3 linked regions of the Styela clava genome follow. The main gene of each other region encodes a partner of the protein of the gene in region 2 in a complex. Links are inferred from orthologs where the notes say so. Each region holds a gene or a part of one and is shown on either strand. Other genes may lie near its edges.

Region 1 (6,672 bases), on a different chromosome or scaffold from region 2:
CATAACCCTTTTAATTTAGTTGCTGTTAGCTGAAACGCGTAGGATAAGCGTACTATTGTTTATCCATTGTCTATCTTTTATTTCTGGTCAATATGTGAGATGTTGAGTAATTAGTTATACGACAATTCTTTTGCATTCTTTGTTTCGATTTTTTTTTTAAATATTTATCACGGTGGAGATGAAAACCGATGGAACGACTTGATCGTGTGACGAGTCAGGATACGAATCTAGGCCCGGTTTTTAAACCATTTTTCCGTATTTATGGTGCCTACGTGAACTTTTTTGCTTCTTTCGAGGAATTCTTCGATCGTCGAGTATTACAAGGCAAAACATTTGCATTACCAGACATTAGTGCTTTCTGTGGTTTCCCAATGTCTAATAATTTATTTTTACATAGTGTACAAAACTGCAAAACGTTTCATTTAAAAATTCAAATAAATATCATCATATTAACGGACTGTAATGTTATGAAGCGTTTGGTAATATTAAAATAACCATCGAACTAATCTTGAATCATTTTTACAAAGCCCCGGCCACTAATGCAAAAATGTGAGATTTGAGTAAATCCCCCGCAACGTGTGAATAATATGATATGGAGGTTGGGGTCAGAATTGATTCGAATATCTAAATTTCCTGGGTAATTTGCATTCCTAACCCAAACCCCCAGCGGATAATTACTAATTTCCTTATTTTAATCGTTGGTGGGGGTGATTTTTGTTGGGGTCTTTGTACAAAAGAAACCCAATTTTAACTTCTTTTGCCATAAAGATTGCGGTATCATTGGTATTTCGTCCATTAAATATTCAAAGAAACGGGCGACCAGGAGCTTTGGAGGTATGGTGGTCAGTGAATGCGCGCTGGCGCGGGACGCAGTTCAAGTCAACACGGTCAAGAAAATAGATAGGCGGTGTCGATTACTTTGTGGACTTCATTTAGGACGATCTTAACAATTACGATACAACGCTTCATTTTGTCTGGTAATTTGTCTAAAGTTGATGCTGACTGCTTGTTGAATAACTGAATCCGATAGTTAGAACAGCCTGAGATAAAACGGTAGGCAAAAACTCGGCTTCGAAAGTTCGATTTGTGTTGTTTTAATTCATGCCACGAGGATGAAATAAAATGATTGATCGTAAACTAGTGGTTAGTGCCCATGATTTTGTCGCAAAAGACATTAACTGCGCCTACACTACGGCTATTTCCAAAGAACTGGAAAGAACGAGAAAACCAAGATAGGCCCGGTCGAAAAGCGGCAGCTGGCGATCAAATTGAAATGCGACTAGATTACTTATGGTTAATGGAAATTCCTTCATAGTGAAAGCGGATTTTTTTTATAATCTCAGTCATGGTATACACGTACGAAGAATATTTCATTGAGAAGGCAACATATAAAAGATATGACGAAAAATATACCTAAAAATTATGACAACTTCCATGGCGAAGCAGGCAATTGCCAAACTTGACGAGTCACAATAGTGTTCGTTTTTTAATATAAGTTGTGGATTCAATTATACCAAATTTGTATAATCTCATTATTAAACATTGTGAAATAGTTTTTTTTATGATGTGTCTTAAATTTCACGAGTGGCTGATTCTGTACTCAGCATTGCCATATTCTAGCAATATTTTAATTACTGAAAAAACGGGTGAATGATTAACCATAAATTGTGTAATAGTATTTCCCTTTGTTTTATGGAAACCAAGATATCGGCTTGAACTAACATATTTCATTCTGAAAGCAACGCATAAAAAGTTATGTCGAAAATTAATCATGGAATAATATGGCAATAGTCGGAGCGAAAAATCAGTTATTGGCCGAATTTTACATGTCCCTATATGTGAACATTTATTCGAATACAAATAAAACTCAAACTTTGGTAGAAAAATACGTTAAAAAACGATGTGCCTAGAAGAATACTTGATTTCACAAGTTCTGGTTTTAGGATGACACCACAGAGAATAATGACACCAAAGAGAAAATACTGCGCTCGCCCGTATGAAACAAATGGCGACCCCGAGTGACGATATTGGATGGACTAAAAAATTCAGAACGTTTTAGATACGTCGTAACTTCTGCCTGTTATCTTTTGTGTACCGGTAAGGAAACTAATACTGGTGAACTGGTATGACTGTATGATAATTGATGAAATGTCTGCCTACTCTGCAATTTGTAATTTTAATCATTTTTTAGCTAGACAAGATTCTTGGTGCGATATTCTCTCTCATTTTGATAGGGTGTGGTTTGTATTTGGTTACCGGTAGTGCAAACTGCAGTACCGGTACGGTACTGTCATTGTTAAAAATTTTGATAAATTAAATTGGCATTATTCAATAGGCAGATATATCATGTTTTGCAGAACACAGATTCTATAATACAGGAGTAGGTACCGGTATCAGATTTGAAGCTTGAGACATTCTATGCGTTTCCGTTATTCCTTTTTTTAGGCAATGCATATTTTTGTTTCTTCCTAGGTTTTTCTAGTTTAATATCAATAAAAAGCAGAGCAAATATAAAGAAATTCATCATTTTTGTGTCTCTGAACTGCATAGTTAAATTTTCTGGACCTCCAAGCGTAAAAAACTTCGAGCAATATGTCTTATATGCTTCCTCATTTAACAAATGGTTGGCAAGTAGACCAGGCAATCTTGAGTGAACAAGAGAGAGTTGTTGTCATTAGATTCGGGCATGATTGGGATCCAGCCTGCATGAAGATGGATGAAACGTTATACAGCATCGCTGACAAAGTCAAAAACTTCGCCGTTTGTTATTTAGTGGATATCACAAAAGTACCGGACTTCAACAAAATGTATGAATTGTACGACCCTTGTACGACTATGTTTTTCTATAGAAATAAACACATTATGATTGATTTGGGAACCGGTAATAATAATAAAATTAATTGGCCTATGGAAGATAAACGAGAAATGATCGACATTTTGGAAACTGTTTACAGAGGAGCAAGGAAAGGCAGAGGTCTTGTCGTTTCTCCTAAAGATTATTCAACAAAATACAGATATTAATTTCTTTTAAATTGTTTCAAAGCGAGCTCAAGAATACTTATATGTGAACGGAATATATTAAAAAATAGCTTTGTTTTAATATGTGTGAGGGACTACACCAAAATCTATTTCTACATATTTCACAAAAGTATGGTTTTCTACCAGTGTCTCTTAGAGTAGGCTGCCACAAATTGCCTAATTTTGACAAATTATTTTCACATGGGACAGGAGTATTGTGTTTTGCCAAAGCATTCATGTTTTTTTAAGGCACTTTATTAAGGTACATGTTCTATTATTTTTTTTAATTTTTTTCCGCGCAAGTATTGTTTATTCCCAATAGCAAAGGGCGTAAAATCAGTCAAACTTACAGTAATCTGCGACGATAAGTTTGGCCTTTTGCCAGGTATTGAAAATGTCAAGAGTTGTCAAGACAAACTGTCAATATTATATCTGTTGTTCAAACATTATGTTTGTGTTCACCCCAGAAAAGGGTTCCAAATTTCGTTTTCAAATTTATTTAATTGATGTCTCTGGTATCTCTAAGATTCTACAAAAATAAACTGTGGCAAAATGTCTCAATAATATGTATATGAAATGTATGTTCAAAAAACTTAATTTTAAGAATGCAAATGAAGTAAAATCACATACCAGGTGAATGAATGAATATTTCTGCAAAGATATGTTTGGCATTTTGTGATTATTCTCATATTTCGGATTGTCGAAGTTGTCAGTATTAAAAAATCTGTCATCATGAATGTTCATATTTGAATTACTTGTAACTAAGTGATCGTCTATTCTGACAGATTTCAATATAATATTTATGATATTAAGGTAAATTCATCCATATTCAGAAACGTGGGCAGTGGGATAAACTATAAAAATGTTTATTAGTTTCAATTCTTTATTAGCAATTTGAATTGATTATGAAATAGCCATTCAGAATTTAAATTGGAGAATATTTTTAAGATAACTACTACCTACTCTGAACATATAAATTCTGAATTCATCGAATATTCACTTTTACTTAGTATAATTTAAAATGTGGCATCATCCTTGTTTCATCAGAAAGGTTTTGGGCGGTATATTTGATTACTGACTAGTTTATTTTCTGTTTCTGCTGAATTTCTGTGCTTATGAAACCCAATTTTTTCATATGTTTATATTTTAAATTTATGTAGAAACATTAGGTAAAGGCATAGGTTTCTGACTCTGGAATGACTCCTAGGGTAACAAACCGGACAGGGTAACAAACCGGTCGAAATGCCTAATCTCGAAAAAGTTATTTATTTGCATATGCTAATTAAGAACCTCACAGTAGAATTCGACTGAGTCAATGTGTGAATTATGTATGATGCGATTAAAATTTATTTCTTGTTTTGAATATGATGTCCATGCTATTTTTTTGGTTGGATATAAAGTTTATATATTGTCTCATTCAACACTGATATTTTGTTGAACACACACAACTCACTCTTACCACCAGTGTTGGAAGAAAGTCCCAAAACTTCGAGTTGCAGGTCATGGGTCATCTGAGTCGATCACTGAGCTATGTTTCACTGATGGTTAGTTGGAAGTTTGGGACGAATCATTTATTTCGAATGACTTTAATCACTGTTCAGGTGAAAGCTGACCTCTATGACCGTATGGGCATATCACTCCCTCCTGTCCATACCAAAACAATTTTATTGCTGTTGCTATCTTATTGATGACTGTATTTTTTGGACAAAATAATATTCTCTCTCTCGCTGTTATATGGTGACTTGAAACAGAACTGTGCCAATTGGGCCTCTATTTTTCGATTGACTAAATAATAAATCTCTCGCTCTTATAGGGTGACTCGAGTCAATGAATCGAGCTACTACAATACTGCTCTTTTCTATTTATGCATCATCCACTTGCAATTTTGTAAAATAAATACCACTTTACACCAGTCTATGTACTTGACATTGATGTTTTTTGTGATTTTTGTAACAAGTGGTCATTTAGTGGTGTCTGAAAATGTGGTGTTCCATTTTGCTACACCTATCTCACTGTCATGACTTAGGGTTAAGTGAGCAAATGAAATTCTGAGTGAGAACATATGTAATACTTAGGCAAAGCGTTAGAACAGTGGTTCAGAATTTGTCACATCTCGCGCCCCACCTCAAAAAATAGCTAGCTAACAATAAGCTACAAATAACAGATAGTAAGGCGAAAGTATGTTTTATTCAAAAAATACTTGGATGGAACTTAAATAATGAAATAAATGGAAAGTTTTGAAATTTAAATATACAAAATAAGGCGGGCAAGATCAAATCTAAGTAATATTTTTATTTGGCTTCACGTCCTCTCAAAAAATTGTCTACGTCCTCCTTGTGTGGCGCGCCCCACCGTTTGAGAATCACTGAGATAGAGTGTTTATATGCAGTGATATTCATACAATTAATATTGATAATTAATACAAGTCCTTGAAGGGACATTTTTGAGGCATGTAGTTGGGAGATTTGTGTGCGTCTAAAATCATACATAAATTGCACAAAAATCTGTGTTATTTACTATTACTAGTTGATTCATGTAGATCAGTGATTCCCAAACTGTGGTACGCGATGGTCTTACAGGTACATTCTTCACCAAATTTCTTTTTTCTGCATTTTTATTTGACCTAAAGGAGTCCTTAGTTGAGATGGGGTATATCTTTTTGTTGAAGCTGTCGTCATCGTGGTGAGGTATTCCGTGGTAAAAAACGTATTTTTTCTTATCACTGCGACGTCTTATAATGTTTAGGATAGATTCGCCCTCAGCGCTAAGGTTCTTCCATCGAAGTTGTTATCGTGCTTGAACTTAATTATCGAAATAGTAAATTTCGTTCGTAAACTTCAGCTCTAAATAGTTGGTTGTTCACGGTGATTTGTGAACAGCAAAAACAAAACACAAGGATTGTTCGCGCAGCGAGATTCTCATCCCTGGTGATTTTCAAGTCGAAGAAATAAAACCACACTTATTGCGCGCGCGCTTCAATTTTGATCTGCTGTGAGCTGATGCACCGATCAGCTACCGGTAGTGGAAAATAAACGAATAAATGCAAGCTAAACAAATTAACTTTTTTGGCAAATGAACCCTTAGAATCCTTCTGTACACACCCAGAATCTTTCGACACCTATTAACATGGCTCATCGTGCTAAGGCTAAGGCTTATGAATACGCTCGCCACCGCACCTCTGATTACTCTGCGTGGGTTCGCACGTTCGAATCCCATGCGAGGATAGTTATGTGCGAGAGGATAGCTGGACTCCTCGCCGCCGTAGGGTGGTTCACGTAACCGATGGTCGGTTTCGGCTTCCTCTACCATCAAGTTCATGCTTCCGAAAATAAATACCTAACTAATGATCCAGCGTTTCCCAACCTTTTTGGTCGCGGGCTATTTTCTCACGGGTGAAAATCGTTGCAGACTCATAATGCATTAATTGTAATCGAAATCTTTGTGAAAAAGCAATTAAACCAAACACAACAGAATTTTAACGAAGTCAGTTTATTAACCACATTTACAAATTTTAATGGGAGCCTTGTTTGTCCCTGAACTTGCACCACTAGTTTGTCGAAATCTGGGTATATTCGTCAATGCACATGCAAGGGCGCAGCCAGGATTTTCAAAAGAGGGGTTTAAAATTGGAAATTTCCATTTTCTAGAACAGTC
Region 2 (6,672 bases):
TTTTCGGATGACATAGTCAGGTGGGGGTTAGGATTAACATAATGAAGAAATTGTTATGCTACGCCCACTAGAAGTCCTTCAGGTACGAACTACACTAGACCCAAAAACTCTTAGTCAATCTAAGCCACTCATGTATGGTTTTTAAAAGAATGAATTTTTGAGATCCTACCACTCCAAGTTTTCTTTTCAAGTCTGAGAACATTTGTTGAATTTTTGGTCTTTCTTCACGAAATTTTTCCAGTTCTTCTCGTTCCCTTTCCTCTCTATATTCCTTCCTTCTTTCGTCCATTCTCCGATCGAGATGATCATAAACAGCATCTGCTTCCTCATCGTCTTTCTCGTAAGGAGCAGATGCAAATAAATTTCCTCCATATCCAGTAAACTGAAATACAGATTGTGTTTTAGAAACAGGAGTATAATAGAGTCGTTACTCGTTACATAAAATATATTAGGACAAGTTAGGTCGCGTTTTCTTTTTTACTTAAATAATTCCTCTGTGGTTCTCTGTGTGTGTGGTGGGTGCGTGTGTGAAATAGTTTAATAATTTTAGGTGGGTGAACACATACCAATTCTTCTTGGCAAAACCTTCCATCTTATATTTTGTATGTTTTAAACCTTATCTAAGGTTTTGTTCGCTCTCCTGATTCCACAATCATTTTTTTTATTTGTTTTTATCAATCATTTTATTGTTATGCTGATTAAGGAGTCGAAATAAACTTATATAAAACGTTCAAGGTGTCAATAAAACATGCAATTTGCAGACGTTTTGAATTTCCATACAAACAAAAACTTCATCATAGCATAATATGTAAAAGTGATAACGTCTACATATATCATCGTAGTAAATTCAAACTAGTTTATGTCTTATTTTCTAGAAATGGATTTTGTTAGTCTGTAAAAGTTTCAACTGCAACAATACTTATAGAATAGGACTTACAGTACATATATATCCCGAGGAATAGGGAAGCCATAAGACAGACTAATCATATGGCATACCACAGCCTCTCGTCCGGTTACCAGTCCATGTTCGGAAGGAAGCCAGCAATCCTTCTCACACATAATCAACCCGCATGGCATGGGATTCGTACCTACGAACCCACGCAAGGTTATCAGAGGTGCAGTGGCGAGCGTAAACCTAATGCTTAGCACGCCATAATGCGTCATATAGCGATAAATGGATTTTTCATATTTATTTCAGGAAAGAATATAGTTGATAAGACAGCTCAACCATGTGTCAGATCACATCCTCTCGTCAAGCTACCAGTCCATGTCTAATATGGGAATAGTTAGCCATTTATTTGATAGCGGAGAAAGCCATAAACGACCAGTGCATTTTGAGTTTGTATCTCAGGTAAACATTTGAAAAAAAAGAAGGTGCTACCGTAGTATGTGAACCAAGATGGTGGACACCTGAACAAGTTAGGGTTAGGCAATAATTTTATGCCAATTTTCCTTATTTGAATTCTATTATGATTTCGGTGACCAGCCAAGTGACTACCGTAGTATTTGGACTTGAAATTATGGCACAACCCTAACCTGGTACACATATTACGTTATAGTGTACGCCATCTTGGTTCACATAGGGAGTGCCAAAAAGAAAGCAATTATTTCAATTGCTACCTCATCATAATTTGAGTCATTGAGATCTTCTTCTTCATCCTCTGGTTTCTTTGCTTTCATTTGATCTCCGAATGTTCGCTGGCCAGGAGGGGCATGGCGGTCATCTGTTGGATCGCTAACATCTCTAGCTGGACCAATATCAGATCTCGTAGTGAAACCTGTAGCTCTGAAAATATGATATAAAAGTTGTGAAAATAATTCATCTTTTTTTTATCAATGTTGAAGATAAAAAGTAAAAAAATTGAAAATGGGAATCCAAATGTTCCCAAAATTAAATATTTTATATCACGGAAGTTAACCAATTCCAAATAAATTATTTTGTACATTTCCGCTTAAGCCTTGAATGAAATTATCATTATCCTTGAAAAGATATTGTGTGTGACAGGAGTACGCAGGCCATGTAATCTGCAGATATTTTACATCGGGTCTTGTGTAGTTTCGTACCTCAAGTACTTCCAGTGGGCGTAGCATAATGATTTTTGCTCATGTCAATCCTATTCCTAACCCCAACCTGACTACACCATCCATAAATTATGTCACTACAACATTACATTCATGTCATACAGCTTGCAAAATTGTATGTACCATCGCTCAAAATGGCGTCAGCGCCAGGTGATAACAAACTCATTAACCCTATCAATCTCTCTCATATGAGGATTTTTGACGAGAAAAGGAGGGAACGTATATGACGTAACCCTCTCGATTTTGGGTGATCCCCAGCACATTCTGGACAGCTGCCCGAATATTTCGGCGGGCCTTATTACGTCACTGTGCCATCATAGTGATGTCACTCAGGATGACATAGTTAGGTGGGGGTTAGAAATGACATATGCGAAAACTGTTGAGCCATGCCTACTAGACATATTTGCACTATTAAACTATACAGGACCCAAAACAAGAATTGTAATAAAAAACAGGGAATTGTTTGCCACACCATTTTAATAACTTTATAGAAGTTGAAAAATTGAATATAGATTTTGTAAATAAGAGTAATCAATCAATCATTTATTTCGGTACTCTGACATAAAAACAAAACAAAACAGTAAACAATATTTATCATGATGTAAAAAAAAAGATTTCGTCGGGCTGATTATAGTCCAGTAGTTGTAGTGTAACTGTATAACTGACTGTTTAATCAGTGGTGGAATTCAGGGGGCTCGTGCGAACCCGTCCTTGGAGTGTCAAGATAATCAGCAAATTCGTTCTTGTTTTTTCAAAGCATAGTTTTAAGTTTGCATAGTTTTTCAAAATGGTGTTAGCAAGTTCTACGGTCTGACGGTACGCAATACAGGCCTGACCACACCAGCTAAAAATTACGTCACTACGAAGTCACAGTGACGTAATAGAGCCCTTCAAATTATGCGAACTGTCATCCAAGACACGCAGACGAGAACCCGAAATCGAACAGCCATTGCTCTTGTTTTCTCGTCCAGTCGTCGCAACGATCCCGATAGGAGAGAGACCCCAATACAGACAATAAAACCATTGGATATATTGGTTAAACTGTGAACTATTGAAACACACATACATGACGAATCATTCAATCATTAAAACAAACTGATGTCAATGCAATTAAATTAAAAACATACCCACGCCCGAGGCCAGGGACATATCCGGGGGGAGCTGGTTGCCCCAACCAAGGTTTCTTTTTTTTCTGTGTTTGTACAACGCCAGTTAACTCAGCCATTCAATTATTAGAATTGAACCTATTAGGTGCAGTATCTGTTCTATCTAAATTTCTGGAAGTAACAAAAAAATTAAATACTTAAATTCTGCCGTTTGCCTTTGTTGAGTAATCTTTCTTTTTTGTGCCAAATAAATTCCAATGACAAACGGAATTGAGACATCTTGCACACAGGTCGCAGTGCACCCCTCAGAATTCTCTTTTGAGCACTCCAACCTTTGAACCTATACTATCGCCCCACGAACTTTTCCAACCACAAGGCGGTTTGAGGAATGATTTTGTTTAATGTTCGCATTGATGGTAATATCAGAATATAACGGTATAAATACATTGAAAAAACAAAAAAAATGTGGAGTTATGACAATATAATTATAAGGTGTGCTGCTTCGATCATCGACTTTACATTACTAAAATGAAAGATGATTTGTTCGGAATTGCGAATGGTATCGTTCTCGGAATTTTATTTTCGACAAGAAAGTGGTGGTTATAAGCAGGAACAGATAAATTAAATACAGTGATTTTCTTCTGAAATATTCGAAGATGTTTCCATTCTAATATTGATGATTGTTTCCCACATGTATTATGGATTACTAATTATTTATTTACAATAAAAACTCCTAATCTTGCTAAATCGTCGGTGTGACGCGCATCGTGCTAAGCATTACACATGTCCTCTTAACTATTTACACATGCCCTCTGAACTATACAATAAATCTGATGTAAATTGTCGAATAGTAAAAAAAATTTATTTTAACAGCCGTCTCATTTTCTGTCTTTATTTTATAATTTCATATTGTCTACATAATCTGTACTGTTGTCCTTTTTAACATTGTTTTGTGGAAATAAAAATATTTCGCGTTACGAATACGCTCGTCACCGCATCTCCGATTACCCTGCGTTGGTTCGCAAGGTTCGAGTCCCATGCGGGGTTGATTATGTGCGAGAGGATTGCTAGACTCCTCACCGCTTTAGGGTGTAACCGGTTCGCCATATGATTAAGCCGTCTAATCGGCTTTCATCTTCTCCGAGATAAATGTGCAAATCCTATCCTAACTAGCAATATTGCTCAACAGCATTACCATTCAGCCGCCGAAATTTTAGTTGCGATAATTGAAATCCAATATTTTTCGGCTTAACAGATCAGGCGATGGAAACGCTCAAATCATTACGGTATCAACGAGCCCACAGGTGTCGTAAAAACATTTGTTTCTAATAATATGAAAGCAAATCAACAAAATTTCAAAGAATAGAACGCTGAATGATTTGCTAGGTAACATATGAATATGTTAATTAAATAGCATAACATTATTACAACAGTGATATCAATATTAAACTGAATAATACAAAGATTCTGTTATCGAATATTATTACTGTATAAGTAACGAAAATTCTCTGTCAAATGCGATATGTGACTTGCCCCAAACGTCAGCTACCATGCCTTTCTTTGAGTGTTGAATGGAATTACATATTCCCGTGACTCGGCGGTGGGCGCATCGTGCTAAGCGTTAGATAAACGATCGCCACTGCACCTCTGATTATCCTGCGTAGGTTCACAGGGTCAAATCCCACGGGAGATAGTTATGTGCGAGATTCTCTATTCCTCACCGGACTTTCGAATCACTGATTTCTTTTCCGGCTTGAATCAAATAATGTCAAATTATGTTTTTATCTGCAAGGCTTATGCATCAATTTTTATGTAATGCATTAGAAAGGAAAACGGACATATCAAAATTGTACAACTGAAATCTTGGTGGCTGAATTGTAAAGTATTCGATCAATATTATTAACAAGAGAACAATGCTCAAATATATCGACACGAAGTTCAACACGTACCGCAAACTGCCACAAGGTGAGCAATTTTCGATGACGAAATCGCACACAGAAACCGGTGCTCCCGAATTGGGTGCACAGGATGGCGCACAACCTGACCATAGTATATTGTGTACCAGGTTGGGGTTATCATGTTGTTGTTCGCCATCTTGGTGCACATACTTCTAGAGCGCCAAAAAACAAATCCCATAGAGCCCACAAAAATATTGAAATAAATTAAAAAAAATAGCCTTCTAGTGCAAAATACAATCTTTGAAAATTTTAAAGCATTTGGTCCAACAGTTAAATAGAAAGCGATTTTGACAGCAAAAAAAAGAAAAAAATACTAACAACATGATAATCAACAACAACATAATAACAAAACGATCTATAGGTCCATTTCGTGTCCAATAAACCGACAAGAAGATTTCAGCTTAAATAAGTAATTAGTAATCCTTAAAACATGTGAGAAACAGTCATTAATAATAGAATAAAAGCATCTTCGAATATTTAACAAGAGAGCTATGCTCAAATATATGGACACGTAGAGTCACATAATTTTGATGACGTCATAGCGAAAAAAAGTAATAGCCTTCTGGAGAAAATTTTTATCTTTAACCACTAAAAATTTCAAAGCAATTGGTCCAGTATTCGAAGAGAAAAGCGACTTTTTAAAAACGTGTCAAGCGGTACTGAGTTAGCAGTCAGGCAGCATCTTACCTGTACACTGTAGGCCATATACGGTAATTGATCACAGAACAGTTGTTCCCTTGCAAATTTTATGTTGTTTACACTTTAGGACAGATAATTGATCACAGAACAATTCTTCCCTTTCAAATTTTATGTTGTTTCCAGTAGACTCTCATCAAAATAAACAAATATAGTAGGCTACAAGTGCTACAACGCTTGCATTACTGCACTGGTAGGACCGTGAAAGAATAAGTTACGGTAATTTCATTGTGGTAAGACACCGGTACCGGCACCAGTACCAGTATCGTACTTACGTACTGAGCTACCAGTACCGGTTAGCAGTCAGCCAGCATCTTACCTGTACACTGTAGGCCATATACGGTACCGTAATTGATCACAGAACAGTTGTTCCCTTGCAAATTTTATGTTGTTTACACTTTAGGACAGATATTTGATCACAGAACAATTCTTCCCTTTCAAATTTTATGTTGTTTCCAGTAGACTCTCATCAAAATAAACAAATATAGTAGGCTACAACGCTTGCATTACTGCACTGGTAGGACCGTGAAAGAATAAGTTACGGTAATTTCATTGTGGTAAGACACCGGTACCAGTACCAGTATCGTACTTACGTACTGAGCTACCAGTACCGGTACCGAACCTGTAGGTCTGATATTCCGTTCCGCATACGATAGGCTATAAAACTTGCATTGCAGCATTAGTAATACTGCGGAAGGAATAAGTCAATTTCACTGCGTTACGGTACCTGTATGGCAACTTACCAGTACCGACCTACAGTAGCTGTAGTACTGAGCAAGACAATCGATCGCGAAACCGCTTGAAATAAGTGTAAAACAGTGTTCCCATGA
Region 3 (6,672 bases), on a different chromosome or scaffold from region 2:
ATAATATCTAAGTTTGCCTTTGTAATTGATACATTATCTAGTAATACTTGCAACTCATACTCTGGCTTTCGAATAGTAAACAACTATCACCAACTATAATACAATAATATCAAAATAGGTAGATAGTGTTTAGTGAAGGCACGCCAAAACAAAGTAAAGTCTCCTTCACTAAAACGTTTGAACACTTTGATGGGAAGAAATCTCACCCCGAATGGGAAACGCTGCTATGATCATAAAAAACAACAATGATTATTTAAAAAAAACTTCCTATACTCACCAAATACTACATGCTTTTTGTCAAGGAACTCACAGTTCGCACAAGTAATAAAGAACTGACATCCATTTGTATTAGGTCCGCTGTTGGCCTGATCAAGCAAATGAAAGTGCATAAATAAGATTTCGCTTAGAACCAGCATAAAGTTTAGAACCAGCATAAAGCACATATTTTTAGAAAGTTGAAAACCGAACGGATGATACTTTTTATAATAAAAATGAAGCAGTGATACATCTCTTGAATAGAAGATAGATTTATTTCCTCATTGCATTGCATTTTTGGCGCAATTGAACCCTTTGCACTTAGCATCAACTTTTCTGCGTTTTGTTGCCATTTGTCTGATTATAATTGAATTATAGGCTCATTAAACAGGTAGTTGTGAATTTTACAATTGTTTGATTGTAATATAATTTAGTCTATACACGTCTCACAATGAATTGTGTAACGTAAAAAATATAATCGTCAAAATAGCTGTTTTGTTACTATAATTCAGTGAAGCGCCGCGGGCCGGATTATGTTACTCGTAGGTTGTCGACCCCTAGTTTAGGGAAATCACTCTTTTGAAAGTGGTGTTATGTGAAAACTAATGTGTTCTTGAACCCCTGTTTGCAAGAAATATACACGTATACTCGTTTAGCGACTTCCGCTATTGACTAACTCAAACCACCACCCGACAAAGCACAAAACATGTTAAGCAAATCGCATGAGTAATCATACACCACGAAAATCCTTTCTTTTTATTATGTGGATGATATTGAAACTCACCATTGATAGCAATCCTGGTCCTGTATGCTTTTCTTTAAAATTTTCATCTGCAAATTTGATGCCATTATATATGCTTGTGAGGCCTGTCCCATCTCCCTGGAAATATGGATTGGACATTAATGGTTATCAAGGAGGAAAACAAAGTTGATGTGAGGACCAAAGCCTGCAATCTTGGATGTGAGGATGGTCTTTGTCCTGTAGAATTTACTCAATGCAAAGATATGCTCATCAACTCAAAAGAAAAATATTTTCTGAACATTTTTGAGGACCAAATATCTGAAATATCAAATAACAGGAAAAAATATTGAGGAAATATACAATTTCAGCAGGTGGTAGAACAGGGGTGCCCAACCTATGGCGCATGCGGCAAACATGGCGCATTGCATGATTAGAGGTGGCGCATTGCATCTTTAACCCTTTTCATGCCAAAATTGTTAATTGCACTTGGCTTCTCGACGCCAAGTCGTTTTTTTGCGATTTACATGGTGACTTTTGATTGTACCTAAAATCTATTCTCCTTACTCCACGTCGCCCACTTAAGGCTTGTTGGAATTAGAAACAACAGGCGATTATCGACGTTAGCTTTTGGACGGACTTTATGACATTCATTCTAGACTTTTAGCAAAAATTAGTAAAATTTACTATTTTTTCCCTACTGAAGTAAAAAGTTCAGAACTTCTGGAAAAATAGAAAATCGTCATTTATCAGCTTGAAACATGGATTTTCCTTTGCCCAGACTTCCCAAATATCTCCCAATAACCATTGAACAACCAGTTGAATTGCCCAAGCCTAAAAAATTTATTATAAATCAACCCACAACAATGCTGAAAATGCCCCCTAAATACCACCTTTTTCATACAAACTTCAAAAGACCGTTGTCAACAAAAGCGAAGCGTAAAATCGCTTGCTGTGACGTAAGTACTAATCTCGAAGAAGCCTGGAGTAAAATCACGCAACGCTAGGCCAAACAGCTGATTAGCAGAGGCCAATTAGAATCGAGGGTAGAGTAGAGTAGATATTGATACTAAAGGCCTGTTGCAAGAAGCGGACATTAGGCGTGGGAATACAAGAGATTTACGGCGCATCTGAAACATTATGTTTAAAACGTGGCGCATGGTATGTGAAAGGTTGGCCACCCCTGTGGTAGACAGTAGTGATATCCATAACTTTGATAAGACATTAGTCTCGTTTACCTCTTAGTAAATGAGCATAATCATTGACTTCTGGTCGTTCTCCACGACCATGTTACTCACAATAATTGGGTTTTAAGTGACTACATTAAACATAAATTCGGCCACATAAATTTATCCAAAAAACTAACTAAAATGCATTCCCACCTTTACAAAATCACCTCCCTGAACCATGAAATCTTTAATAATTCGATGAAAAGTTGCTCCTTTGTAACCGATAGGAATCCCATCTACTCTAAATAGAATTAGAAGTAATGTGATTTACATAAATTATGAAAAGATAATAAATAATAGAGTAAAAACTGTATCTCGAAAATTACAACTTCAAATAGAAATGCAACAAAACCCTTTCCACAAATGCATCTTATTGAAAATTAGGGTTCTATTTTTACTAATATTGCGGCACGAAATGGCATTACATCAGCCCAGTCAGTTTCTTTTCTGTCGTAGTCGGTGCTCACTGCTAAGCTAAGGCTTTACTGGTGCACTAAAGGTACCGGTTTACTAATGCAAACTGTTAGGTCGTATTCGATTTGCAACTTTGATTTGAAGCTTTTGAATAATTATATCAGGGTGGTCCAAGGTTGTTGGCTCCGCGGGCCACAATATTATTTTTGCATTGTTCGCGGGCCACAATAGTGCCAAAAATAGGTAAACAGTGCAATACAAAATAAACACTTTTATTGTGCAAACACATAGTTATCAGGCATAGCCATTCTTAGCTAATAGAATCTGCAGTTGATTTTTAGTTTTCTATGATGCATATATTGTTAGCATATATTCCCGACCAAAAAGTTAGAAAGCCAGATAACAATTTAGACTGCCAAGCACGTCACTCAACTTCGCTAGTTTCCCCTGCTAGCCATAACACTATTTAATTCAGTGACATCAGTGATGACAATATGTCAAAAGATTTTTCTGATTAATTTTATGACGAAACAACACAAAATGCGATTTTTTGATTACTCTCCGAATGTGACACGGGCCACAGATAATGAAGCGGCGGACTACATGTGGCCTGCGGGCCTGGGTTTGGACCACCCTGAATTAGATAATGATTTCAGTGGGAGTCATTGGACCTTTGTGTCCATCACTGTCCACATTCTTGAGTATTGTAATTGATTTCAAATCGAATCAAAATTTGATTTGTGTTGAATAACCTTGCTTTCTTTTATTACTTGGACTTACTTGTATTCTCCTGTACAAAATTGTCTAAAATTTTCCGCAGTATTTGGCACGACATCTTTGAATAACTCCATTTTCATTCGACCTACATCCTGGAAAAGATGATAGAATAGTCTTAAAAACAATATATAATAGGACTACATACTTTTCTTGAAAGCTCTGAAAATGGCACTAGACCAGTGGGGCGCACCCCACAAGGGGACGTGGACAATTTTTTGAGGAGGCGTAAAGCTAATTATAATAAAAATAGTTGTTAGATTTGATCTCGCCTGTTATTGTTAGCTAGGTATTTTTGAGGTGGGCACGATACTTGACAAATTCTAGAAAGGGGGCGCGAGTTATAAAAGTTTAAGAACCCCTGCACCAGACAATGGCCTTTTCTATGGACAAAAACATGCTAAACACACACTATATAAAACTGGTAATATTACTAGACCAGGGTTTATCAAGCTGGGACTGTTAAAAGCAAAACTAGATTTTTTATAAAAGAGGTAGAGTCTATTTGTATTTTCACTCACCTGGCCACTAATAGAAATATCAAAAAACACAATGGGATTGCCTGGAGTCCTCACACTCATTTTGGGATACAATCCGCCAATACAAATATATAAATAGTAATATTAACTGAAATTAATAAAACATACCGATGATAAAAATGATCGAATATTGATGATTACCAATGATGAGTATCAATTTTATATGTTGAATTACCAAATACTTTTGACATCCACAGAAAAAAGTATAAATCTAGGACGGGGATTGTGCAACCTTTAATAACACAGAAGAGCCAGATACAAATAACTGGGTGAAACCGTGGACCGCACCTTTATTTAACATAGGCTTTCTAGTAGTTGTAGGCACAAAAAGTTCGGTTTTTAATCCTATGAAATACGTTGTTCGCTTCGCACAAACTACCTGTTAGGGCATTACAATGTCATAGGCACAGATAATAAATTGGAATCAGGTATAGACTTCCATCGCAAAGGAATTGGAATTACTAGAATATGATAAGATAGATATACAGTATTATCCATTCAACAACTTGATGCGAGGTTAAACACCAATTTAAGGCAAAAGGGATTACAATAGGCAGGACAACTCCAATAAAACAGTCACAATAGCATGCAAATAATCTCATATATAGCATGAATAAATTATACAATGAACTTATGAAATTAAGTACTGATACTGAAACCAAATCTTGGTGATATCTGGCTATCATTTTAAATAATCAAAATGACAAAAAAAAATGAGTAATTTAATCACCGTACACCATAAAAGTCACATAAAATTTGACAAGTCATCGCCCAATTCCATATGCACACACTTATAACATAAAAATGCTATTTTTAGTCTTTTATAGTGGAAATATTTAAACATCAGTCCTCTCCTAGTAAAGCAAACTTATTTTGCACAGAGAACCCTTTACCACCGTCCCCATGTTCATGAGAAGATTCGGACTCCTCGCCACTGCTTGAATCTTGAGTATCGTGCTCAGAACTGGCTATTTCTGGGTGAGAAAACATTTGATGAAAACTTAATATATCGCCAACACTGCCAGGATCTGAGACCAGACTCAAAAGTTTCAACGTTTCAGAATTAGCCATCCAAGATTTTTCTTCCTTGACATATCCTGGGGGCAACATGAACAAACATAACCTTCCATCAACAGCCATTCTTAAAATATTATTCGCTGCACGATACACATCTGTACGCCGTCCTTTCGCTGTATAAAACCTTCGTTTTTCCGCCCATCCTTCACAAATATCCCAAGCTGTCCACTCTGATTCACCATTAGGGTGGGTGATGCCTAATAGCTTTACAATCGGAATTCTTGATGCTAAATACCCCACAGGAGTATAAGGTTCTTGTACTTGCGCAATTGGGTAAATTCCACTCAAAATTTGCATTTGTTTTTGCACAAGTGATGGAAATACAAGACCAGGGCAATCACATAGCATTACGTCACGAGTTAAAAAGTACGTTTGGAAATATTTTGTGTGTCCTGGCGTTACTGAAGTACTCACAACTTTCTTTCCAATAAGGCCGTTCATAAGCGATGATTTTCCGACATTAGGATGACCCACAAACCCAAGAGTAAGTCTGCCATTTTTAAACAACTCTTTACTTTCTGGACCTTGTTCAGAGGTTTGATGTTCTTCTTCAATATTCATCTCTGGTTCAAGGTCACAATTTAGACCTTCAAGGTCATTCAATATTTTCTGTTCCCAGCTCTCAAGATTAACTTTGTCTCCGCAAATTTTTTTGCAAACTTGTAGCAGATCTTGCGGACCTATTTGCGTGGTATAAACACGTTTTCCAACAGGTCGTTTTTTACTAATTCGCTTTTCCGCAGCGTCTCCTCGTAAATTTTTTGGGAACGAAGTAAAAGTTATAACATGCAGCTCAGGAAATTTCTTTTCAAAGTATTTTTTCCAGGCAATCACAACAGGAGCTGGAACCAGATCGATTTTATTTAAAACCAGTATTAAAGGTTTTTTGACAACATGAATGGCGAAGTTGTACAATGCGGGAGAAAAATGGAGCACTGGATGCCTTACATCAGCGACCATTGCTATGACATCGCTCATCTCAATCACACGCCAAAGTTGCCGCCACGTTTCCAAATTGTGTTCAAAATAACTGAGATTTTTGTCTTCAAACTTGGAGTACAGATTGTCAAGATATGTTGAAAAATATTTTTCCTCACGTTGCTCTAATAATTGTTTTGAATCACGATAATCCCAATGTGGCCGCTGAGGCATGTCCAATTCCGAACCAGGTTGATAAACCTCTTCTATACTCATTTCCATTTTTTCCGGTGGAATCGGAATGAGCAATTCCGTCTGTGATTGCAATTTACGCTTGTCGACTTCATCCCTCGATTCTCGAAGAAAATTCAGTCGATACCTGTCTCTCGGATTCGTACTTTTCGTCGCTTTACCGTGAATATTCCGTCCAGTTTCAAATGCATGGGGATTCCCATCTCCAGAAGAACAGTCGGAATCGTACTTCTCAATTTGATCTTGTAATTTCCATGCTTCTTTGTTTTCTGATCGGGTCAATGACCCTTCACCTCTATGTTTTTTTTCCTGAAGTTGTTTCTTTTTTTGTTTTCCACTAAATGGTTTCTTTTTCGGCATTGAAAGGTAGACTACAAGACTGCGATAAAAAGATATAGTTAGCCAGTTATTTGTTTTCGGAAGCATGGACCTGATGGTGGAGAAAGCCATAACCGACCAGCGGTTACGTGAACCA

The links.
Region 1: pre-mRNA-processing factor 6-like (region 2) and thioredoxin-like protein 4A share a complex: the UniProt entries of both Homo sapiens proteins name them as parts of the U4/U6-U5 tri-snRNP complex. The link is inferred for Styela clava from reciprocal best matches to the Homo sapiens genes PRPF6 and TXNL4A.
Region 3: pre-mRNA-processing factor 6-like (region 2) and peptidyl-prolyl cis-trans isomerase H-like share a complex: the UniProt entries of both Homo sapiens proteins name them as parts of the U4/U6-U5 tri-snRNP complex. The link is inferred for Styela clava from reciprocal best matches to the Homo sapiens genes PRPF6 and PPIH.

Annotation. Positions count from the first base shown.
Region 1 is NC_135251.1:10,687,019-10,693,690, forward strand, and holds thioredoxin-like protein 4A, read left to right. Parts: upstream 1-2,466; 5' UTR 2,467-2,592; coding exon 2,593-3,021; 3' UTR 3,022-4,944; downstream 4,945-6,672. UniProt on the Homo sapiens protein: Plays a role in pre-mRNA splicing as component of the U5 snRNP and U4/U6-U5 tri-snRNP complexes that are involved in spliceosome assembly, and as component of the precatalytic spliceosome (spliceosome B complex).
Region 2 is NC_135256.1:6,263,437-6,270,108, forward strand, and holds the start of pre-mRNA-processing factor 6-like, read right to left. Parts: upstream 3,388-6,672; 5' UTR 3,308-3,387; coding exon 3,210-3,307; intron 1,787-3,209; coding exon 1,621-1,786; intron 383-1,620; coding exon 170-382; intron 1-169. UniProt on the Homo sapiens protein: Involved in pre-mRNA splicing as component of the U4/U6-U5 tri-snRNP complex, one of the building blocks of the spliceosome.
Region 3 is NC_135258.1:4,509,817-4,516,488, reverse strand, and holds the start of peptidyl-prolyl cis-trans isomerase H-like, read right to left. Parts: upstream 4,119-6,672; 5' UTR 3,993-4,118; coding exon 3,933-3,992; intron 3,507-3,932; coding exon 3,418-3,506; intron 2,465-3,417; coding exon 2,377-2,464; intron 1,136-2,376; coding exon 1,040-1,135; intron 366-1,039; coding exon 278-365; intron 1-277. Other genes in the region: guanine nucleotide-binding protein-like 1, read right to left, coding at 4,794-6,623. UniProt on the Homo sapiens protein: PPIase that catalyzes the cis-trans isomerization of proline imidic peptide bonds in oligopeptides and may therefore assist protein folding. Participates in pre-mRNA splicing.